2 linked regions of the Saccharomyces cerevisiae S288C genome follow. The protein of the gene in region 2 binds, or shares a complex with, the protein of the main gene of each other region. Each region holds a gene or a part of one and is shown on either strand. Other genes may lie near its edges. The genes, in order: GIN4 and BNI5.

The links.
Region 1: BNI5 (region 2) and GIN4 share a complex: the UniProt entries of both Saccharomyces cerevisiae proteins name them as parts of the GIN4 complex.

What each region holds. Positions count from the first base shown.
Region 1 is NC_001136.10:1,457,106-1,467,476, forward strand, and holds GIN4 (protein kinase GIN4), read right to left. Parts: upstream 8,682-10,371; coding exon 5,253-8,681; downstream 1-5,252. Other genes in the region: PSP1 (Psp1p), read right to left, coding at 1-2,115; GMC1 (putative oxidoreductase), read right to left, coding at 2,623-4,449; glutamine permease GNP1, read right to left, coding at 9,348-10,371. UniProt on the Saccharomyces cerevisiae protein: Serine/threonine-protein kinase which regulates the localization and the function of the septins during mitosis. Phosphorylates SHS1.
Region 2 is NC_001146.8:320,174-335,958, forward strand, and holds BNI5 (Bni5p), read right to left. Parts: upstream 3,393-15,785; coding exon 2,046-3,392; downstream 1-2,045. Other genes in the region: SKO1 (Sko1p), read right to left, coding at 1-1,186; YNL165W (uncharacterized protein), read left to right, coding at 3,659-4,879; IBD2 (Ibd2p), read right to left, coding at 5,092-6,147; GTPase RIA1, read right to left, coding at 6,568-9,900; YNL162W-A (uncharacterized protein), read left to right, coding at 10,156-10,374; 60S ribosomal protein eL42 RPL42A, read left to right, coding at 11,149-11,152, 11,665-11,981; serine/threonine protein kinase CBK1, read left to right, coding at 12,424-14,694. UniProt on the Saccharomyces cerevisiae protein: Required for normal septin function and cytokinesis. Its recruitment to the bud neck by CDCd11 and SHS1 ensures efficient localization at the bud neck of MYO1, the type II myosin of the actomyosin contractile ring.

The sequences.
Region 1 (10,371 bases), on a different chromosome or scaffold from region 2:
ATTATTGGAAGAACTGTCATTTGTATTTTGAGATTTTGAATTATCATTTAACGCTTGTAATTTACTCTGAGCAATATGCAAGGCTTTTAATTCATCTTCAAATTTATTGTGCAAATTCGTTGTTACCTCCCACGGGGTGGCAAAACGTAAGACTTGTTTAGATGGTATGATTAACTCAGTTAATTCAACAACATCATACAATTTGGGATTTAATTTTTTCTTTTGCCCATTTTTTGAGTCAATCAACATTTGAATAAACTCATCATTGCGATAGTGCTGTGACTCACTTGTAATTAAAGAGTCAAAGTGAATTTTCTTTTTCAGAAAATTTATAAATAATGCTAAATTCAAATCGACAGAGGGCTCAACAACCAATACTAAATCCCTTCCACGGTCACCATCAATAATAACCAAGTCACCTCTCTTTAACAACAAATTGGTAGCTTGTGGAGTAGATAGTAGTTCAAGTTTCCCATTTTTCAAAGCAACCAGTACCAATGGTGTATAAGGTAAAAAGGAGTTATTAGCATTCCTGCATGATAGTTCTGTTGTGAAAGAGCCCTTCCTCCTATTTTTATTGCCTCCATTATTGGAAACAATTCCATTATTCGACTCTGGATCATTAACGTAATTCATGTTGCAACTTCTTAAAATGTCCAAGAAATTTAATAAAGATTGGTATGTATTACCTTCTTCATCGATTAAGCCCATGTTCTTCGCGTCGTAACTTTCATTAGAATCGTGCAACTTCAGCATTTTCTTAATATTATCTGTGAATTCAAAAACTGCAGAGCTAGCAAAATAGCCGCTGCCACAGTCGCTGTATAAATCGTGTAAGGTTTTGGACGAAGTCAAGTGTTTACCCTGAATTAAAACTAAACCATTGTCCAAAGATACATTTCCTTCATTGCTGTTCTCGTTCTGAAGGTTATGTGAGTTTGTAGAAGAAGGGACAGAACTGCTTCTTTGAAGTTGAACAAGCTGAACATCATCAACACGTTCGCCATTGAAAGAAGTAGGTACATTAACGTTTCTTGGTTGTTGTGGTTGTTGTGGTTGTTGCTGTTGTTGTTGAAAAGTAGGAAGGGATGGATTGAAGCTCGCTACCGGTTGTGTATTCCGGCGAAACTGTTGCATTGGAACCATATTGTGACTGTTGTTGTTGTTATTACTATTGCTGATACTGGCATTATTAGGCTCGTTATCATAAGGATACGGAGGTTGTACACCATTTCCAAACTCGGGCACACCTTTGGCGGTCAAATGGGTTGAGTTCAAGTTGTCATAGTTGAATCTGCTATTGAAAAGATTGAAACCTTGAGCGTGTTGCTGCTGCACTTGGGATGTTTGCTTTTGCCGAGCGTCAGGCATTTGATGGTTGATTAGAGTATCTGATATGTAGGAGGATCTCCTAATGGTAGACTCTGGATGAGATGGCTGTTGCCAATTAAATGATGGTACTTGTTGGTTGTTCATACTAGATGGGTTGCCAGCACTGTGTGATGGGGCAGCAAAATTGCTGCCGCTATTGGAAGTAAAACCTATGTTTGTTTTATTCATTAAACGCATGTAGTCTGAATCCATCCGATTCCCCATTAGGTCGTTTCCATTTGAATGAAATGAATTTCCATTAAATTGCGGGAACGACCGTTGTTGAGCTTGATAATTACCCATTTGAGTAGAGTTTAAATTATTGTTATTGGATGAAATGGGCGGTGCGGACATCGGCTCTGAATTAGACGAAGACATTTGAAAAGAGGTCAAATTACTGGAAGGGTGTTCTTGAATGAACCCGTTCTGGTGAGAAAACGGTTGCTGTTGTTGATTTGGCACTGGTGGCAAATACGGAAACCTACCCATAAAATCAATATCGTCAAAAGTCCTCCTGTTTTCCATACCATTTCCCGCACTTTTTATTGAGTTTCTCAAATTATTCAGGCCAGCAAGCGGATCAACCGTATCACTTCCTGAATTATTGGAGTTATCATTCAGTTTACGGGGTAAATCGGATAGCGATTTTCCGCTGTTATTCTTGAAAAGCAAGTCCTCATAGTAGTTCTTTAAATCCACATTGTCGGAAATGCTTGTTGTGCTATTAACAGTTGGGAGGTCCATTTTGCAACTGTATTTCTATTGAGCACTGTATCAGACACCGCTTTTTTTGATTTATCCTTCGTTTTTTTCTCTATAATTCTCTTGAGCCTTTCAATACACTTTATTCTTTTCTATATACGCTGTTTACTATATCAAAGAACACTCGAACTGATGCTATCTCTGTTTCTAACTGCCGAACCAATGAAAAATACAGCTCTTAATTATCAGTGAATCCTTCTTCTTATCCTTTATTTATTTTTGTTTTGTTCCTTTAGCTAAAACACGGATCCGTAATGTTATCCAACACGATTAGGGGAAGGATTCGTCTCCAAAAAACCGTTATGACCCAATCCTATATGACCTACGGCAGTCAGAGAAATACAGGTTTTCGCACTCGGAGGCGATTGTCGCCAATGGAAAGCTAGCCGATACTTTTTCCGTCAGCTTTGCGGGTTTTCTTTTTTGCGGCCTTGTAAACGGCTGTGGGAAAAGCGAAAAAAAGCAATGAGTTGGGAGAAATGGATGTGATTACATGAGCAACCAGTAGAAGATAGCATCAACCGCACACATGATTAGGATGTAGACGGCTATTACCTTGGACTTATTTTGTTCAAGTGCGGCTGTATGGACAACAGTGTTAGGGTCAGGTTCCTTGGTAGGGTACGATAATACAGCTGTAGTTGCTTGTTTGGTACTGTCCTCGGTTGTTGTCGGAACCTCAAAGACAATGCCAAGCCCCTTCATCATGTGCCACTCCACATGACAATGTAAAAGCCATTTTCCGGGCATCTCGGTGTTAATTCTCAAAACCGCGTAAGAATTTCCTGCAATGTTAATGCTATCCCTTACCATCGGTGCCTTTCCGGTTCGGGCCAGGTGACGTAAATCGTTCTGATAGCGGCTCCATGCCTTGCCCTCTTGTACGTCTTTGTGAAATGGGCCATCACCTTTATTGCCAAGAGATATTATCTGGAAGTGATGGCCATGCATATGCCATGGGTGTCTCATGTGGTCCAGTGAGTTGATTACAATATCATATGTTTCGTTGAATCCGAACCTTACCGGGTCTTTTACGTACTCGCTGAATGTCCGTTCGTTCACCTTATACATCCCAGTCCCATACTTTTGTTTCGTGCTTTCATCTTTGTAATAAGCATAATCGAATTCGAAAACTGCAACAGGATCAGCCTTTGTGCGTAACTTTTTATTCTCTTCTTGCGTTGGTTCTATGTCGCGATAAAGCTCGGCCTTAGTGAAACCAGGCAAGTGTTCGATGGAAACGTCATTGGGGTTCTTTGGTAGGTCCAAATGAGCGCCTTCTTTGTAAAACCACCACTGTTTTGTTATATAACCCATCATTTTGTTACAGCCATTAATCATACGAATAAAACTAGTGTCAGACTTTAGTTTGACCAAAATTGTATATCTTTGTCCGACCGCTAAATTTATCGTTTGTACAATGAACGGTTTAATCATAATCCCGTCGGCTTCTAGAACAATTAATTGGAATCCATCAAGGTGAAAGACTTGAGTACCAGACATTCCTGAGTTTACGATTCTCAAAAGAAGATACTCGGTGTTAAATCCTATTTTGATAGTTTCACCGTCAGATGATTTTCCATTTATTAATGATCCATCAAATTTGGGATCTGTACCCCCGGTAGATGACAAAACCTTGTCGTTTAAAATGTCCAAATTCCAATTGGTATACCAATCACTCAAAGTGATAATCCTTTCTTGAACTTCATAATCCGTCAATTCCTTCGTGTGTTTATCTTTTTTCATTGTAACAACACCGTCATCTAGTGTCTCTATGTCTCTCACAGAATTAATAGTATTTGCCACATGATTATCATAATCATCGCATTCAACTATCAGAACACCTCTCATACCGTCACCGTATTGTACTGATGAATGCGAATGGTACCAAAAAGTACCACAGGTTGATTGATCAATGGTAAAATTATACCAATAACTTTCTCCATATCCAATAGTGGGCTGTGTTAAACCTGGAATTCCATCAAATTCATTTGCTAAAGGTACCACCCCATGAAAATGTAAAGCTGTTGAACAGTAATCCTTCCAAACATCACTGTCTTTACTAGCTTCTTCTTCTGAACATATCCAGTTAGTCAATTTCAAGTTAAGAGTGTCACCGGATTTAACTCGAATTTCTGGGCCAAATGTAGCGCTGTAGCCATTTATGGAGATAACTCTTCTCTTATCAAGCGTGTATTCACTGCTCGCATTGAATTCTAAGACATGTATTTTGCCTTCCTTAGCGGCCATAATAAATTTTAATAGTATTAAGAGTAGCATTGGCAACTGAACCGGCTTAAGGAGAATGACCTTCATTCTAAACAAGTTGTCCACGGAGTTTTGCAATAATTACTTAATAACTTTGTTTAACCGCCCAGTATGTGCCACTTTATTAGCTTTGGCCTTAATGTGGACAGCTGAGATGAAGGTGGATCCTCTATGACTATCCCCGAAAAAAATGTAAACTAAAAAATATTGGTTGCTAAGAGATTCGAACTCTTGCATCTTACGATACCTGAGTATTCCCACAGTTCACTGCGGTCAAGATTTTTTCTTGAATCAGGCGCCTTAGACCGCTCGGCCAAACAACCACTTATTTGTTGAAATTTTTGTATCATATGTTTGTATATATCATATCCCATTTTTTAAGAGAGTAACTTCTTGTCGGCCTCATTGTTCATAATTTGTAGCCAAGTTGTAGTGATAAATAATAATTTAGGCAGATATTCTTATATGCTTGAGTGGAACTTCTAGCATATTCAGTATACTTGATATTAAAGCCTTTAACAACAATTAATGTTCGGAAAATTAAACTGTTACATAATTTATGTTTAGCTCTTACTTTAATCCCAAAGAGGGCAAATAGCTTTTAAATCTTCAACTACTATAACTATAACTACTTTTCTTTCATATATAGTTAGAAAAACAAACGGTTATACAAATAGTAATCAACACGATATTTTAAGGGTAAATATAATAGTACATAGAGTCCAGTACCTCCATTAGATTGTTATTTAAAGTATTAATACGGAGGGGAAAAAATAAGCAAAAATAATATGAGCGAAATATTATGGCAGAACAAAACGAAGGAGACAAAACATGATTGCATTACATTAGCACTATTTTTGTAGAACGCCTTCCTTATTCAGGACGTTCTCAACTTCATTGACCAACTTTTTGACAGCTTTGAATGAACCAGAAACTTTCTTGAACTGCACAACGCTCATCTTACCTCTCGGATAAATATTAACCTCAAAGAGTGTTGAACGTAGTGAGAATATATTATCACTCGATAGTTTACCCGTTAAGGTCAGATTGTTGGGGTGCGATTTTATATTTTTTAAACCATACTGAGTCCAACCACGCAACAGCTTCTCTAAACCATTAAACAATTGTTTTGCAGAAATCTTGGCATACAATTCCATTGTTTTGTCCGAAGATTTTGAGAATTTTCTAAAGAAGGAACCATTTCCAATTGCTGTATTTTTATCCTGCTTATGCTCTTTTAAGTGATCTTTTGAATGATCCTTTGCCTGCGAGCCAGCATTTTTTTCCCTAATTTTTTGCACAGATTTGTTCAATGGTGGCTCCATATCATCTACTACTTTCTCTCTTTTTTCTTGATCCTCTTCTTGTTTGTGTTGTTCTGGCTTTTTCTCTTCCTTTTCCTCATTTTCTTCTTCCTTTTCAGTATGTGAAGAAGAGCCTGATTCTGGTATCATCGATTTAATCTTTGGATGTGCCTGGTCACCCTCTTGGCTATTCTGTTTACGCAATTCATTGTCACCATTAAGCGGAGGAAGGATCGGAAGATGTAAGTTATCAGTTTGTTTCGCTTCGTTCGATCCATTAAAACGATCTGCAAAGTTCAGCTTTAACGCGGATTTGTCTTTGATAGTGGAATCACCGACATCGTACAATCTCTCATCGTTCGAACTATTTCCTGTATATTCAGCTTCTTCGTTGACAGTTTCAAAAAGAAATTCTGAATCATCCGCACTTCTTGGTGTTGGAATTCTTTGGCTTTGTTGGTTATTGACATCAAGGTTACCGTTTTTCAAAATATCAACCAAGTTGGTAAACGACTCCTTGGTAGAGTACATCGACAGGACAGATAGCCTTTTATTGGACTCACTAAAATGCCTTGATTTTCTAGTAAATTGTGGTACTCTAATTTCAGAGATCTTCCTCAACCTACCATCAGAGACGGGAGCAGTTGTTGCGGTACTATCCTTTAATTGAGATACGCCATTCCCATCCTTCGGGAGGATCAAAGATTCATATCCATCATTAGAATCTGACACCACTCGCTCCTCTGACAATCTTTGTGGTGCAATTATACTTGGATATTCCATTTTAGACAATTTCAACTCTTTATCGATATTAAATGATGAACCCAAGAATTTTGATCTTCTGATAGTTTCTAAAATTTTCTTTTCTGTTGTAAGTCTTTCATTTTCTGTTCTCTTTGGTTCCACTGGACTTACTTCCTCAGTTGGACTGGAGAACATTATACCCGGATCAAGCCTTGACACAGGTCTAGTTTGTAAAGAAAAGTTGCGGCGACGGAGAATATTGTCAATATCAACCTCCAAATGATTGATATTTTTCTCTTCATTTTCCATAGGAGCAGAGATAGATCTAATATTACCATCCAGTTTTTCCTCTTTGTGTTTGGACAGCTCTTGCTCTAGATCACTTATATCAATTTCAATTTGCTTCTTGAGTTCCTCCTGTTTTCTTTTCAGATCTTCCTTTTCTAGTAATTTTCTTGCACGTTCTTTTTCTTCTTGTTTACGTCTTCTACGTTCCAGCTCTTCACGTGCTTTTGCTTCTCTCACTTTACGTTCTAGCTCTTCCTTCTCTTTCCTTATTTGTTCGTACTTTTCGTACTCAAAAATTTCATCTATCAAAGTTGCAAAATTTGAGCTCGTTCTCTTTGTTTCCTTCTCAATGTATTCCCAATCGTCATCCTCTGCCAATTTCGCATATGTTGACATTAATTTTGTTGTCACCGATTCACGTTTCATGCTTGGTATCAATGACATTCTCTTGATAGATCTAGAAGATCTTTTGTTCTTCTTGGTAGTAGAAAAGATAGAGGCTCTTTTTTGATTCTTTTCCACATTTATAACCGAAGCTCTTTTATTACGTGATGCTGGTGTTGGAGAAGATTGGTTAACGATTGTAGATAATTTCTTCTTTGAAGAGAAGTTTTTTGAAAGGCGTTTTGAAGAACCGGGTGTAGTTAGATTGCTGGAGGAGGCACTGGAGGCAGTGAATTTGTTGAAGGATATTGGCTTTTTACGAGAAGATGTTACACTAATTAAAGATTCTCTATTTCTTCTGCGTTGTGGAGTTGTCGATACTTTTTTAGATGGGGAAACAGAAACGCTACTAATTGACTGCCTCTTCTTAACTTGCTGTTGCTTAATAAGCTCTTTTTGAGTGTCACACTTAAATCTATACAGTAGTGCATATAATGTCTTTTCTGCATTAGCGCCAGGTTCTCTTAGTTTTTCCTTAATTCCTTCAGGATCTCTTCCATGCCATAATATTACTAAATTTTGCAAAATCGTAGCGTCAATAGAAGAATTACTTTCTGATAATGGCGTGAGATATGTGTCTTCTCTTGGTAAGCCTCTAATACTTTTAGAATCTCTTATACTTGGATATTTTTGTAATAGCGGATGTTTGAGTATATCTCTGGTCTTGATTCTTCTTTCAGGATCAACGGTTAAGATTTTTCTAATCAAATCCTGAGCTTCACGCGAAATTTCATCATCAGAAGGCATTTCGAACTCACCTTTTTGAACTTTAAGTAATAGTGTTCTTATATTTCCATCTTCCTCGTCAAAGGGTAACCGACCAGTAAGAAGGGCGAATAGGATCACACCGCATGACCACACATCACTTGCGAAACCTTGATACGGTATACCAGATACAATTTCTGGTGCAGCATAATGTGGTGATCCGCACGACGTCTCCAGTAGCTTTCCTTCAGTTTCCAAAGCAGCCATACCAAAATCTGCAATCTTGATGTTATATTTATGATCTAATAATAGATTTTCCGGTTTTAGATCACGATGGACAATACCCAACGCATGACAGTACGACACACCAATAATAATTTGTCTAAAAAACCTGATAGCTTCATGCTCTGGCAGAGGACCTCTCTCAACCAATAAGTTGAACAACTCACCTTTCTCCGCGTATTCTAAAACAAGGTATAAATCTGTATTTGTTTCCCAGACATCATATAAACGTAACACATTTGGGTGGTTTAACAACTTCATAATGATTATTTCGCGTTCTATACCATATGGTAGAGCATCTGGGGTGGTGGAGCCAACAATCGAAGTACCGCTGACATTACCGGTATTGAATACTGCTTTTGATATTACCTTAACTGCCGCCTCTTGTCCTGTGGATCCATTACGAGCAAGCTGGACTTTACCAGTGCTCCCTAGACCGAGAGTTTCACCTAGTTTCCATGGACCGATGGTATTATCCTTTATGGCAGGAATACTGTTACCATTGATTGCCATTTTGAATGTTATTATTGTATTGTGCTGCGAATATCTTTCTTGATCAAAGTGGGCAATTAATTATTCACAAGTCTGCTAAAGCCTTCGAGAATACTAATGGTGAGTACAGTTGAGACGTTGTCGACAGAAGAGAAAGCAAAACAAAATAGAAAAGAAAATCAAGAAGAAATAAAAAATGTGTGCACTTCATTCAGTCGCTTTTAATTTAACATCAAAAGGAATCTATGGTGTGGCCGTTGATATTTCGCGATGGTATGCCGAAAAAGGAAATAACGCAGATTGCGCGTAGTAACGAATGGATTTGACGCGTTTCCTTCGATGAAAAGTGGGAAATAATAATAAAAAATTCTTGTCAGACGAAACTTGGCGCAAAACAAATGATTTCTTTACCTTGAATAACCCAGTTCTTCCAGTGAAGTGAAGTTCAAGTTAGTAATAGTAGGAATGCATTTATGTGATGACAATGATGTTTGCACAAAGTACATAGAATATTTAAAGAGTTAAATAGTATAATGAAATAAGAAATACATGAATGAGGGGGACGGGAGAATGAAAGGAAAGAGATAAAACAGGAAGAGCGTGTAGGAAGGCTGGGATTTGAAATAATATGCTAATTGAATTGTTTCTTCAAGTTTTTTTTTTTTTTTTTGAATCGTGATTTCTGCTTTAACACCAGAAATCAAGAACTCTTTTCCAGTATGGTCCGTTTCTTAATCTCTCTTTATATTCTTCATCTTCTTGTTTTAATAATTCTTCATCAAAGATGTTTCTATGAGAAACTAAGTCTACTTTATCAGCGGGAATGAATAAACTCCAATCTTTTTTCCAAACTTTGTAAAAGATGTATAAAGCAATCCAGATTGGCATAGCCAAATAATTCTCAAAAAATGATTGGGCACTTAACTTACCTCCTCCACCAATTGGGGCAATGGCAACCCAAAATTGGGCGATTAAAGCTAACACCATCATAAGGACAGCGTAAGCCGACCCCCAGACACCGACTTGAGATTTATAACCAACCTCTCCTAAGGACCTTCCTTGCACTTTCATAGCTCTTCTAAACCTAATGTGAGACAAACAAATGGTAATCCACGTGAATAATTGAGACAAACCGGAGATTGCTAACAACCAGGTGAAAACGTCCTCTTCCTTTTTAGATGAGGCACAGAATGCAATGACACCAAATAATGCACTGACAAGCATAGCAGCAGCAGGTCTACCTTCCCTATCGATGTAATCGAAACATTTGGGTGCATTACCTTGTTTGGCCAACGACATCAAAATACGAGAACTGGTATAGAAGGCACCGTTAGCAACGGAAAGAACAGACAACAGGATGACAGCGTTTATGAAATGAGGAACCACACGAACACCATGAGAGGAGACAGCGATGACGTAGGGCGACGCTTTAGTGGCTGAACCTGCGGCCCCTAGCAATTGATCTGAGGTGTAAGGTACAAGGAAACCAACTAACGTTAAAGACGCCAAGAACACAAACAGAATTCTATAAATCATTTTCTTTGCCGCCGATGGAATAGCCTTTCTTGGATTGGATTGTTCACTGGCAGTCATAGCCAGCTGTTCACTCATACCAAAGGCGAACGCTGCTGTGACAAATGTGGCAACGACACCTTTGAACCTCTGGATGGGTGTATCACCACGGAAGGCTCCGGGATCACGCCAATATTTG
Region 2 (15,785 bases):
TTGATATGGAATTTTTTCTTGAAGCCTTAGAAGTAGAACTTGTGCTAGACATCCTTCTCTTTCTTTTTCGTGTTTTGTTATTGAACTGGTCATTGTTCTCAATTTGAGTCGTTAAATTTTCATTCTCCTTGTGATTATGAGCGGAGTGCTCGATGGCATTGAACTCTGCCGGATTATCCATTTTGACAGCCGCTTTCGTTGAAGTATTTGGGGAAAAATTGGAATTACTGATGCTGTTGTTGACGGTACCATCTGTGGTATTTGTTGTAGGTGTTGATTTGAATACTGGATTAGCCAAAACTCCAGTAGATGGTAAGTTTAGCAGAGAACTCAATCCCGGCGTAAGTGGTGTACCATTTACAGTTGGGTGCATTATATTAACATGAGGGTGGTTTTCAATACTTCCATTCACTGTGACACTTTTGTTGACATTTTTGCTACCTGTTATAGTATTTTTATTAATTGACGGCAATACGGGATAATTGTAAGATTGCGTAAGAATACCGGGTGTCAACCCGGTCCTGATATTGGACTCATTAGGTGTCAACCCAGATTTGGACAAGTTTAATAAAAAGCCAGGCATTTGTGAATCATTCGTGGGGAAGCCGTTACCAGAATTACTTGTGGTCACGTTCGAGTTTCGTGGCTGGCGTATAAGTGAAGTCCCTGAAGGAGAAGAGCTGTTTGGATACAGAGATCCGGAGGTAGAAGAAACGCCTATTGCACTAGGGTTTGAATTAGAGACTGAAACAGAATGTGAATTCTGACTGGGATTCGTAGTTGAATTTGCCTGATATAAAATAGAGGGAGAAAGGAGTAGAGGTGGTAATCTTTTCGACCCACCAGGTGTGAGAATAGGCGGAGATATTATAGTAGGTCTTTGTTGGCCTGGTAAAAAACTAGGTGAGTCTTTTTTTACGTCATTATGATTACTATTATCTGTAACGGTTGAATTCCCATTTTCTTCTGGAATACTGTTCAAACTATGAGTGGAACGTTGGGAATGTTGTGTTATCGTTGAGGTAGAATTGTTTCGTGAAAGCTCTTTTGGTAGAGACGGATGGGAGATCGTGCCTGGAAGTGACAAAGCCTTCTTGGAAGAGGCGAAGCTTTGTTCAAAAGGATTGGGTTCTAAATCGAAAGTTGAAACAGTACTTGGTTGTCTCGAGCGTTCCTCGCTTGACATAATGATTAAGCAGGGTCTAGAGACTGGGCAGGTGTATTTGGAATGCAGAAATTGAAATGAAAAGAATGAAATAAAAATAAAAATCCACGAATTGATTAAGGAACTTATCAAATAATAGAGATCGGTAAAAAGATAGGAATCTAATAAGTGGAAAACTCACTTGAATAATAAAAGAGTTTTTCTCGATAAGAAAACACAATTCACTTTTACGTTGAACCCCTTTGGTAGTAACTTTTCTGAGCTTAAAACCACTCCTGAGCGTTGGCAATGTAGCACCAAATTATTGTGTTTCTGGAGAACAAATTAGTCTCACGTATCAGTAACCAAACTTGGTCCTTTTAACTGGAAAAATGTGCAGTTTGTTTCGAAAACCATCACCGTATGACTGAATTCATTCTATTCAGCCCAGTTAATTTTCGTGATTTTTCCCTTCGATTCTACTTTTTTCCCTCTGCGACAAAGTTAGCAGGGTTATCGCTAGCGCGGTTAAGTACGACTTGGTTTATGAAAGTTCTTAGAGAAAAGAAGACACAACGCCATTGAAATTGAATTCTGGGTACTGTTATTGTTCCGTTTCATGTTATTACAATATAATTGACTATCTGAACATTTTGTCTTCATTTTTTTTTTTTTTTATTATCGTTTTGTTTACGTTTAGGCGAAATACTCACCTCTTTACTATTAAAATAATAGAATTTATCAGAAAAAAAGTCAGCAACATCAAAAATAACAGATGGATGGCTCTAGGATAAAGGATTCTTATTCTCTTACGATTGTCTATGTTCTTTTGGTATTTATTTTAACTTTATATATCTGTCTTAATTTATAAATATTTATAACAACCCTTGGCGTAATGTAATCATTTAGTTCCAATCCAAAATTGGCCATTTTCGCCACGATCAATTTGCTTTCTCAGATGTCTACTTAATAACACTCCGACCTCATATTTCTCCTTCGTTTTCTTGTCAAGATATTCTTGAAGCTTCACTACGGCTCTATGTAGTCTCTTTCCGTCTTCCATAGATAAAGAACCCTGTGCATTCATCTTGTTTAGATAGTCAATTTCCTTTTGTAACTTAATGCATTTCATGGATAAATAATCATGTCTTTTTTCCAGCTTGGCAATACTGCCCAGCTCAGACGCTGATGTGATAGGAGAGGAGACTGGCGAATCATACTTATTTAGTGAAGATTTACGACTTCCGTTTCTTGAATTGGAATTGCTGCTCACCGAGATAACTCTGAACGGATTTGTAGGGCGTCGTGTCTCGAAATTCGCCATTTTTTTCTGTCCATCACCATCTGAATTAAAGTGATTTATATTGGTACCATCTTCTTTAGAATTCTTTTTAGGGATAAAAATTTTAGTTTGAGAATCTAAGGGAGTGCTTCCTCCAGAGCGATTGGGACAATTCTCTGAATTATCGTCATGGGGTGTTTGATCAGCTAAACGGCTGCTCTCATGGTTGTATTCATTGTCACCTCCTACAACTATGGTTTGCGGTTGTATATCTAGATCCTTATTAGCGGAAGAAAATTTGTCTAATACAAGTTCAGCGTCTAACTTGTTCTCACCGCCCAAGGTGTTATTCTGGGGCATGGGTGATTTGAAAGATTCAATCTCACTGTTTTCCTCTGTTCCCTTATCTACTCGCCCCTCTTCAACATCCGATTTTTCATCCTCCCATTCATCATCATTATTTTCGATAATTTCAACATCAGCTTCACCCCTGTTTTGATCTATATTGACTGTACCATCTTCTTTGTTCTCAGTGCAGGAGTCCTTTGCCTTTTCATTTCCAGCGGAATTTGCGACAAATGAATTATAGGAGTCACCAATAGCAATGGCGGTGTGAGTTATCTGCTCTTTCGCTATAAAAGGTTGAGTAACCGATAGCTGGGATGGGTCATCCGTACTCTTATTCGCTTCATTCTCAGTGGGAATATGGACCTGTGCGGTTTTGTGCTCTTCAACCTGAGCTGAATCTCCTGGGTTACTATCCGCTCCATCATTGCCACTAAAAAGAGCCGTTTCTGCCACCTTTACAGCGTCGACCACACCCGTATCCTTGACATTATCTTCGACAGCTTCGTCCTCCGCAGGTTCAACTAATTGTAAATTTTCGTCAATCATCTGGTTCATCTGGTTGATATCTATCTCTATTTGAGAAAGCCTCTTCTTTATCTTGTCCTGGTCCAAGCCCATCGTTTCTGTTGTTCTATTTCACACTAACATAGCATCACCATAACAGTAAATCAAATTACAAAACTATTAATGATTTTTGTTTATTATGAAGTTTGAATTTTCAGCGCAATATTTATTTCATAACGCGTCTAAAATGGTCTGGGTTCTGGGCATCTCTAAAGCCCTTCACTACTAGTGAAGAAGAAGAACAAGTAAGGCTTTTGGAAAAGAAAGAGCATCAAATTGAACGATAGGAGAAGTGCTACATACATTTGCCAAAGATCCGCATGGATAGAGTACGCTCTTTGATTGGAAATCGCCGGGGACGCCGACATAATCGCCAACATCCTCCGTATCCTCACAGTGGGTCTCCATCCACCGTCAATCTCTTGGGAGCTAATGGTTATGGAGACGACCAATCTACAATATTTGCACGAGAAAATGAATCTCTGGAAACCTCTGCCAACGAGGGCGATGATAGTGCGGATGCAGCTACTTTGAATACAGCGGTATCAGAAGGCTCAACAATTGGAGACCTACAAAGACAGGGTTATGTTAACAGAGCCCCAAGATTCACGTCAGAAAGAGCCATGCCATTCGTTTCGGTGCTACTACAACGAGGGTTTTTTGCATTCCCCAGTGAAGAATCTCTCCAGCTATTTTTACACAACAAGAGGAAGCTCGATAACATTGATCCAAAGAGGGGTCTAGGACTTCCCCTATTTCACGCCATTTCTTTAAACCTGGTCAAGTCGCTTTTCAGTGATCAAAATACACCGGTAATGAGGATATATAAATACGTTATGATAGACTCCCAATGCGATAAACCTCCATTAAACTCAGAAGTGGTCTCTCGAATAAACGAAAATGTCTCCATATATAAATATGAATTCTGCACTATTCTAAAAAAAATGGAAAGCCATAATTTTTCGAGCAGGGTAGAGCACGATTTTATATTTCATAGAAAAGATGAACCTGATGTTCATATCCCCATGATTAATTACAATCAAAGGAAAAATGCGGATACGGCAATTCATGGATTAAATCTTCGTTGGTACGGGACAACTAGTTTAGCTTCACCTTTTGGCTCAAATAGCATCAACCTACTTGTACTCGATGATACGATGGCATCCTACATGAACCAACAAACTATTGAAGAGTTTGATTCTTACAGCCGTTCCCGTCCCACAAGACCGCTGGGTTATCTCCCAGTATGGGCCAGATACACAGATGATAAAGTTAGTGTCATACCGAAAAAAAGAACTTTGAGAGTAGCTACCTTGTACTTACAAGAAACTGATTCGTTTGATGATGGCTCTAGTTTAACATCTACCAATTATACTGAAATGGGCTCTAATATCATTGAAAATGTGCCGTGGGATAGTCAGATACTTACTTGCATGTGCATGCTATTACATGAATATGAATCAAGAAAGGAGAAACGCCACACCGCATGGGGCAGCTCGACCACATATATGCTAAATGGACCGGCAGGATTACTGATGTAAACCCATTTGCATTTACTTGTGTTTTTTCCTGTTACTATTTAGTCATAATACCGCTAAGAAGCATATAAATATTCAAAGAGAAATATTGTCGTACACCATTAATTTTTCAATAACTCTTAAATACGTTTAGAATGTCACAAGTTTTCCTCACAAGTTTTCCTCTATTATGTAATGTTCCCTATACTACTTTATTCCTACAGTAATAATGTTGACTATCTATTCCTTTTCCTACTATCTTGTTCATCTCTTGGTGGATTCGGCATACGATTGTAACCAAACGTACGATTATACCACTTTATCATGTTACGTGGTGGTTCACCAAACACCATGTAGTACTCGCAAAATAAACACATGGGACTTGATTCGTTAACTAGGACAGAGAAATCTGGAACACGGTTTTCCGTTCTGGAAATATATTCAAAATCATGATAATAGTAGTTTCGTAGTTTGGATAAGTTTTCATAATGATGATGCGGGCAACAACTTTTATGGTCTCTAGATTCGTCATAAAAGTCATGTCGCCTTACATGCCCATTCTTTTTCGAGTTCTTTGACCTGCTGTGCTTTCTAGAAGATATGGAATGTTGACCGTCTCCATGCAAACGAGCTGCGTCAACGGTATCATGATCGATATCTGTGACTTCTTCTGCAACATCTAAATCCTCTACATTTGTTACAGTTCGCAACCCCCCCTGTTCTTCACTTCCAAACCCTCCCGGTAACACCGATTCTATCATTTGAGAAATCTTTTCCCCTATACCATCCGGTGTATCCAGTTCTTGGCTCTCATAATCGAAAATTATTTCGGCTTCTTCGCCATCCAAGTTAAGTTCTGAGTCTTTAAGATCATCATCTAAAATATTTTGCAAGTCCTCCTCTATTATGAAGTCTGCACTATTTCTAGAAGCTATTTGGCCTATTTTACTTTCAAAGGTTTCCTTTTCCTCTGCGGAATCAATGTGGTATGCACTTTGGCCATCTATTTTCGCAAGTTCATCTTCCAAACTCAACGAGTCCATCTTAGGAAGAGCATCTTTGAGCTCTTCTAACCGTGCATTTGATAAAGCTTTTCCTCCATTTCTTATAACGAATTGCATTGCATGAGGAGCGTTTTGAAAAGCTTGTCTGTCTTGAAGCTGATTGGAAAGAATTTTAGTCAGCGCTTTCACACCTTCTTGCATCATAACGTTTATTGGCATAGGTCCATCCTCTGAAAGTACCTCCACAGATGCATTAGTCGTTCCACTAGATTGGTTTGTAGGTGTCATTTTCTTGATGATATGGCATGAAAATAGAAGAGAAGAGAATATGATTAAAGCTATAAATTCGTCGTAAGAAGCACGATATCAGTAAATATGGATAACAAATTACCAAATATTTAGCAAAGAAATTCCTATTCAGGGTATATGCAAAAAGTGCAATCTGTAGTTCTTGCTGTAGCTCTCGCTTATTTTGCCATTCTCATCGTCCAGATCATCTCAACTTTCTTGTCCCATCGCTAAAACATTCACTCGCGCGAGAGTATGTAGTATATCATAGAATACGTAAGACTGGAAATGCTTGAAAACTGTGCTATTTCATCTCATATTCAAGTGAATATACATACATACATACATATATTTATATATATTTTCAACTAGTGAAAACTATCTATATTAGTCTATGATTCATATAAACCCTAAAAAACCTTAATTCTTTTTCAAAGTACGTTGTTTTTCGGCATTTTCGACAACTTTTTCTTCAATGAATAGACCTTTCCTTCTTCTGATGGCATTCATATGCTTACGGGCAATATTCTCTCTATCTGCTGTATCACCTAGTTCCTCCAATTCTTCTTCTGTGGTTGGGACCCAAAATGGATCTAAATCGATACACTCGAATCCGGAAAATACCAATTGAGGTTGTGCTGCACCAGATGTTCGTTTACGAATATCTTCACTTAAACCGAATGCTTCCACAACGGGCACATGTGCCTCAATTTGAAAAAACGGTGTACCTTCTTTCATTTCTTCAGAAATGATTTTACCATGCCTCTGTAGAATAACGGCATACACTTTTCCAAGTACATCGACAGAGGTTTGAATATCACATGAGTAAATTGCCCACATAATTCTTGGGGACCAGTCTAAAAAGGCCTCATGTATAGCGTCCCTTGTAGAAGTTATCAACCTCCCTGATAAGTCCACAATATGTTGTTGGTAGCGCGGATCTTCAATAGATTCAATTTCGTCTTGTGACATCTTATGTACGCTTTCAACAAGAACACACATTCCCTGTACGGGCTCATTTGCCAGAGGTCCTTCGCTAACAGCCAGTTGGAAGCCATTTTTGATGGAATCTGAATACTCAAAGGCTGCTGGAGTACCTTCAAATAGGCTTCCAAGAAGATTATCCTGCGACAGCAAAATGTTGCACCCAACTCTACTTGGCCCAAAACCTGCTAACTTTACTTTAAACCCACTTAATAGTTCTCTGCTCTTCTCCTCCTGATTTATGACCTCTTCAAAAGCAACGAGTAAAGACTTTTTGTCTAGAAAAGAACTTCCAGTTGATTCTATGACGGGATCCATGCTTGAAGTGGACGTCTTCAAAATGTTTTTAATGCTATTTTGATGTTGAGATAAAAAGTCTGTAACTTTACCGCTTAATGGGAACGTTCTGAATGTAATCTTGTACTGGCTCAATAGTAGTTCATGAACACCCCTTCCCAGCTGTGAATTCTGCGGTGGATTCATATCTGAGGCTGATAAAAATGTTTCCCTATATGGAATAGCCGGTTCAGAATGTGTAATTTCTATTCCTGCAAATCTCTCTGTTAAATCTTTTAGGCATCTTTCTAAATGTAATTCACCGGCCGTACACAGAATGTGTTCACCAGTATTTTCAACGTATGTGTGCACGCAAGGATCTGCTTGATCCAACAACTTTAATCCTCGTACCAACTTGCTCATTTCCACAGGATTGGCTGGCTCCACAGCAACACGAACGATTGGCGTAAAATGGAAATTGACGCCCGCTAGATTGACGCCTTGTACGCCCTTCTCTATCAACGTACCACTCTTTAAAACTTTACCGGCCAGACCACGAATACCGACTATATTTCCTGATGGACAAACGTCCAAAGGAACCAATTCCTTACCCATAAACAAATATAAATGCGTAATAATCGCAGTTTCAATATGCTCCTCTGGACATTTTGGATCATATTTTGGACCCAATACCGAAATCTCCTGACCAACTCTTAGTGTGCCACTGTATATTCTTGCAAATGCTACCAAGCATTCTTCCTTTTCGTCAAAAATATCATCTACTTCATCGTTCACATCCTCTGAAATTTGCTTAATACTCTCCAAAAGTGGATCTTCTTCCTCATATTCAAACATTGAACTTAGAGGGTCATTTGGATCTATGTCAGTTGGTACAAAATCTAGGCCGAAGTTATCTTGACTATCTGAATCATCCTCCCCCTCATATTCAAATTCTAAATCCAAGGCGGAAGAAGGCTCTGAAACAACACAGAAAACATCATTATTTCTTGAAGGTTTTGGCTTTGTCTGTTCTCCTACTTCGGGGGTCATAACGGTATCTTTTGCTCTTTTATATAAATCTGATGTATTTTTAGAATTGTCATTCAAATCCATCATTGCCATATTTTCTACCATACCAGCATGTTTTGCAGCATTAAGTGCTTCCTCACGTGCCTTTCTACTTCTCTCCATCAGCTCATCCGAAGATGCTATCCTCTTAGATTCAACAGGTAATTCTTCTCTAGGAATTGAAAGCATCTTAGATACGTATGCACTAACTGGTCCTTCTTTATCACATGTCTTCATGGCTTTCAGAAGTCTTGGATCCATGGCTGCTGTGTCGGATTCGGAGACCAAAATAGTGTTCAAACGATCGGTTTGTGATTCCAAAGGTGAAGGTAATTTTTCAATAACTGTTAACAATACTGCTGTGCTGACGGGTAGCCATTGACCCATGATAGTTCTTAACAATTGTTTATCGTCCTTCGACCTTAGATCACGTGCAAGTAGCTTAATATTTAAAGTTTTTGCTATTTTTTCGACCATTTCAGAATCTCTCGATGTGATTATGTTTTGATAAATTTTCCATATATTTTCGAGGATTAGCGATGTGAAAAGGGGTTTCAGGGATCTTCCCTTAAGGCCTTTATTGTTAATAATTTTTTTTGTCTTGGGATCCATATAGAAATCACCCCATAAAACTTTCTGTAGGTTTTCCCTTTTAGCGCCTAATTTTTGTTCGTAAAATTTGGCCAATTGACCGATGTTGAAACCCCAACCATCAATTGCGGAAGCAAAAATAACGTTGTTATCAGTAGGGTTAAAGTAAATACCCGAATCATCCTTTTCAATATATTCCGCGTTTTCGTTCTTTTCTAATTGCTCCCTCCAAAATAAATCATCCAATTGTCTCTCGTTTGCGAAAAAGGACCCGATAACTGAGTTGACTTGTTCAATGACTTTGGACAAGTGAATATAAGCTTCTTGGGGAGTTAGTTGTAGTTCTGTGATCAATCTATCAATCTTATTCAATACTAAAATGGGCTTCAGCTTCTCCGTCCAACATTGTCTCAACACTGTGACGGTTTGCGAGCATACCCCCTCTACGACATCAACCAGTACGACAGCACCATCACATAGTCTTGAAGCTGCACTGACCTCACTTGAAAAATCAATGTGACCTGGGGAATCAATTAAGTTTACTAGATGCTCGCTTACAAGAGGCTCATCGGAACCTTCTTGTTTACGCAATACCCTAAAATATAAAGAGATAGCCGATGATTCCATTGTGATACCACGTAGTTGTTCGTCAGGCCTGGCATCTAAGAATCGAATTTTGCCGGCAAGCCTTTGTGATATAATACCATTCGAAGCCAAAAGAGAATCTGAAAGTGAAGTTTTACCGTGATCAACATGAGCAACAATACATATATTTCTTATACAGGAAGGGTCATTTTGCAGACGTTTGTAAGTCTCCGATTCCACTCTAGGCATATTTGCTTATCGTGCTTAGAAAAATAACTGAGTTTGGTTATTTTATAAACTATTTTGATAATCTTGATGATGTACAAAGATTGTATTTCGGGTGCACCTATCTATCAATATTCTTGGCTCTTAAGTTCCCATTTTTCAAAATTTCTTTTCTCGTAGGAAAAAGAAAAAGGAAGCGATGAGCTGAAAATTCCACTTTACAATATATCGAATATCCAGTATACCAAAACTACATACAAACGAACACGTCATTAAAAGATGTCTGATAAGCCCGACTCCCAAGTATTTTGTCCAAATTGCAATGAAAGACTTCAAAAGTGTTTAGTACAGCAAAATTATGCCATTATAATATGTCCCAGCTTAGTCTGCGGCTACCCATTCAATCAAAGAGAAGTACTCGAAAATCTAACGTATGTAGACGATAATGACGTCTTAAAAGTTGCAAAAAAAAGATTATCTTCACGAAGCAAACCATAAAATAGTTGCACTATTGCTGTTCATTATCTTTCATTATCCCTAGTAACGCCATTGCAGAGTCAAATATGAGCGATAACAATATAAAGAGCAATAACATGATAGTTGAAATTAACATAAAAGAAGCGACATAATTAAAGGTCTCAAAGAGTGAAGATCAAGTATCCGGTTTTTACGAATAATCTACTTTCTATGTGAAACCCAAAAAAGTTCGTACAAGGAAAACTAAAAAGTGTGTAATAACTTGTCTAGCTTTGGCATTAAAACTTGTCAATTATTCATCACCAATATAGACTAATGCGTTTTGGAACGCCAAACCGCAGTGACAAATAGCAAATATGTAGCTGTCATATCGGCATATAATAACAGTTTTCTACCAAATGCTGTCCTACATTCAGAGATCTTACATCCTTACATCTAAAGTAAAACCTAGACATTTACTTCGAGTTATACTTTTTTTTTATTTATCTATTTTTTCTCTTGCGGACATTTAACACCTGAATTCCGCCTAACGCCAGGACTGATCCTGCCAGGGAAGGGAGCTTTGTCTAGTGCCAATAGGCCGGACCAGTAGGAAGGTTACAGCAGCTGGCCCGCAGAGTGATTGGGTCACAGGAAATAGCGCAACCTTCTCTTTTGCCCGGGAAAGGCGGTTCAATCTACCTTCGAAGGGCTAGTACATGAGCGCGAAGGAGGCAGATAATAGCACCATTAAGTGGTCCAAATGCATCTTGAAATCTAATCCTTAATAGAGGAAAACAACAATTATCAGTAAAAATGGGTATGTTATAACCATAATTCCTAATGGTGAATAAAATCAGGACCAATAAAGAAAAGCTAATTTGATTTTTATTGTCAATGAAATTTCATAATCGTCATGAATGCATAAACAGACACACCTAGCAACTGTATAATCTGCGCCTAAAAAGGGCGTATACACAAAACTAAACGATGCGCAATAAAAGTTCAGCAGTCAGCAATGAAACCGAGATATGCAGCAACAGAGTATCATATGCATGGAGGATCCTTTCTGTTTTTCTGATAATATGCTCTGAAAAAGCTCCAAACAGCACAGTAGCCTATTTGTGAAGCTCAAAAAAGGCTTCTATTTCCCTCGCTATCTTCAGATTGTGCAGTGATATTCTTTGAGGAAGGAAACGTAGAGGGGATAAGTTGGATAACTGTTATTTCTTTTCAATATGCTAGATTTTGCTTACCACCTTACTGATTTTTTCTAATAATAAACTTTTTTACTAACATTAGTACGATGTCTCATCTATTTCTTCTATTTAGTTAACGTTCCAAAGACCAGAAAGACCTACTGTAAGGGTAAGACCTGTCGTAAGCACACTCAACACAAGGTTACTCAATACAAAGCTGGTAAGGCTTCCTTGTTTGCCCAAGGTAAGAGACGTTATGACCGTAAACAATCTGGTTTCGGTGGTCAAACCAAGCCTGTTTTCCACAAGAAAGCTAAGACTACCAAGAAGGTTGTTTTGAGATTGGAATGTGTCAAATGTAAGACCAGAGCCCAATTGACCTTGAAGAGATGCAAGCACTTCGAATTGGGTGGTGAAAAGAAGCAAAAGGGTCAAGCTTTGCAATTCTGAATCTCTTTATGGGTTTCGCTTTTGTATTTTCTTTGCTTTAAAATCTGATATAATTACATATTATTACAATATAAAACTTTACGATAATTCCTGCAACTAATGATGCGTTAGTACGGTTCGGGCGCTCTAGGACGCGTGTCGGTCGGGTAACCATCATTCTTATTCGACGAAAATGATTAGTTTCCAGAGAAGCAGTTGCACTCCAGTTTGATCTGCAGTCCAGCGACTATTTTTAACATTCAAAGATCATTTTTCGTTTGAATAGTTGAGCAAGGTCATATAAATTTCTATATCACACGAATAAGGGTTCAGATATTGCTTTATTATCGGCGAACACTGATATTACCACATAGATATCGCTCTTTTTTTGAAACGTAAGCGTAAATTTCAGTATAGGTACACGTCTGCGCTGATCCTTCTGTAATCCTCTGCAGTTTTCGCAATGTATAATAGCAGCACCAATCATCATGAGGGTGCACCTACTTCAGGACATGGCTATTATATGTCCCAACAACAAGACCAACAGCATCAACAACAACAACAATACGCCAACGAAATGAATCCGTATCAGCAAATTCCTAGACCGCCTGCTGCAGGATTTAGTAGCAACTACATGAAAGAGCAAGGCTCTCATCAATCGTTACAAGAGCATTTACAACGTGAGACAGGTAACCTTGGCAGCGGTTTTACAGACGTTCCAGCCCTGAATTATCCAGCCACACCACCACCACATAATAATTACGCAGCTTCAAATCAGATGATCAATACCCCACCGCCGTCGATGGGTGGTCTTTATAGACATAATAATAATTCCCAGAGCATGGTTCAGAACGGTAATGGGAGTGGGAATGCACAATTACCCCAATTATCACCGGGCCAATATTCTATAGAGTCAGAGTACAATCAAAATTTAAATGGCAGTTCTTCTAGTAGTCCGTTCCACCAACCGCAAACGCTACGGAGCAATGGGTCATATTCAAGCGGGTTAAGGAGTGTGAAAAGCTTCCAGAGGTTACAACAAGAACAGGAAAATGTCCAAGTTCAGCAACAACTTTCCCAAGCACAGCAACAAAATTCCCGGCAACAACAGCAACAACTTCAATACCAGCAGCAGCAACAACAACAACAACAACAGCAACATATGCAAATACAACAACAACAACAGCAGCAACAACAGCAGCAGCAATCACAATCTCCCGTTCAGAGCGGCTTTAATAATGGTACCATATCAAACTATATGTACTTTGAAAGACGACCAGATTTGTTGACTAAAGGAACGCAAGATAAAGCAGCAGCTGTAAAGTTGAAGATTGAGAACTTTTACCAATCCTCTGTTAAATACGCCATTGAAAGAAATGAAAGAAGAGTGGAGTTAGAAACAGAACTAACTTCTCATAATTGGTCAGAAGAAAGGAAATCTAGGCAATTGAGTTCTTTGGGTAAAAAAGAGTCACAATTTTTAAGGCTGCGTAGAACGAGATTATCGTTAGAAGATTTCCACACTGTGAAAGTCATTGGAAAAGGGGCATTTGGTGAAGTCAGACTGGTTCAGAAGAAAGACACCGGAAAAATATATGCAATGAAAACTTTATTAAAATCCGAAATGTACAAAAAGGACCAATTAGCACACGTCAAGGCTGAAAGGGATGTTCTGGCTGGAAGTGATTCTCCATGGGTGGTTTCGCTATATTACTCATTCCAAGATGCTCAATACTTATATTTAATCATGGAATTTTTGCCCGGTGGTGATTTGATGACCATGCTAATCAGGTGGCAACTATTTACAGAGGATGTTACTAGATTTTACATGGCTGAGTGTATTTTGGCCATCGAAACCATTCATAAATTAGGATTCATTCACAGAGATATTAAACCAGATAATATTTTGATCGATATTAGAGGTCATATAAAATTATCTGATTTCGGGTTGTCTACGGGGTTCCATAAAACTCACGACTCAAACTACTATAAAAAGCTTTTGCAACAAGATGAGGCAACTAATGGTATTTCCAAGCCAGGTACTTACAATGCAAATACAACCGATACTGCAAATAAAAGGCAAACAATGGTTGTGGATTCTATTAGTCTAACAATGTCAAACAGGCAACAAATTCAGACATGGAGAAAATCACGTCGTTTAATGGCATATTCTACCGTAGGTACACCAGATTATATTGCTCCTGAGATATTTTTATACCAAGGTTATGGGCAAGAGTGTGATTGGTGGTCACTTGGAGCAATTATGTACGAGTGTCTGATTGGTTGGCCTCCATTCTGTTCCGAAACTCCACAGGAAACGTACAGAAAAATCATGAATTTTGAGCAAACTCTACAATTTCCTGATGATATTCATATCTCTTATGAAGCCGAAGATCTAATCCGTCGACTATTAACTCATGCAGACCAAAGACTTGGTAGACATGGTGGTGCAGATGAAATAAAAAGTCATCCATTTTTTCGCGGTGTTGATTGGAATACAATCAGACAAGTAGAAGCACCGTATATACCAAAGTTGAGCTCCATCACCGATACTAGGTTCTTCCCAACCGATGAGTTGGAGAATGTTCCAGATTCCCCAGCTATGGCACAAGCTGCCAAACAAAGGGAACAGATGACAAAGCAAGGTGGAAGTGCGCCAGTCAAGGAAGATTTACCTTTTATTGGCTACACTTACTCCAGATTTGACTATTTGACAAGAAAAAATGCGTTGTAGGGACGCGTTAAGGACATTCCTCTTTATTCAAGTATTTATCTATGGATGTAGAACGCACATTATGAATAAATAACTGCACTTTTTTCGGGAAAAAAATTACCAAAATAGACATCAGCTTTATCATATGTCTCCTTGAAGTATTTGAACGACCACCTTTCCGAAGACAATGTACCTAGTAACCTACAGGCTGCCCTTAATCCATACATCCACGCACAATAGCACAATCTCGGTGATGGCTGGTTTTTTTACCTTGAAAAACAAGAAAAATGGCTGATGTAGTTGAAAAAGGTAAAAGAGATGGCAGATCAGGGGACGATTTTGTAGAGGAAGTATCTATATATATCGACCATATTGAAAAAAATATGAAATAACATACACACGTGTAAGAATATATAATTTTTGTTATTAACACGTCGTAAAAGAGAAAAGATCGTGCTTTCATCACGCGCTTCCTCTCGGCCTTTCGAACTATAAATTATAAGATGATCCAGTCTTACAATACTGAATGAAACTCAGGGAAGACGATAGCGGAGGTTCGACAACCGATCACTGTAAAACCTACACTTTCAAGTTCATTAATCGTCGCTTGAAAGATCGTCATAACCAAATATTGCTAGAAACAAAAGCGTTCGGGATAGGTCAAACCATGATGAACTAGTTCCACACGCATATCTTAAAGCGTGCTATTTTTTAAAAAGGGCAAATTTAGGAATGTCTGACGGAATCCCTAATCATCTTTGGCTTTTCCCTTCACTCCCTTCTTTTACCGACGATGGTTTGAAGGAAAGAGAAAAATGAGCAATAGGAAAATTCAGTAGTCGATTTCCATTTCAATTCCCTATTGGGTAATGTGGCGGCGAGGGCTAAACATTCGGTATCATTGATTCAATGTTCTCACAATGTTCAAATTCTCGGATCGGGTATCCCTAATTGGGATCTCTTTCCAGAGGAAGGGGCCTTGATGTGGGATTGAAGACACATGAGTTTTTTTCTCACCGTCGAAACTTTTGCTTACCCGTAAAACATCGGCCATTCGTTGGTTTATTATGTGACTTTTTTGTGACTTTTTTTTTTGCGAAGTTTTCTCGTCA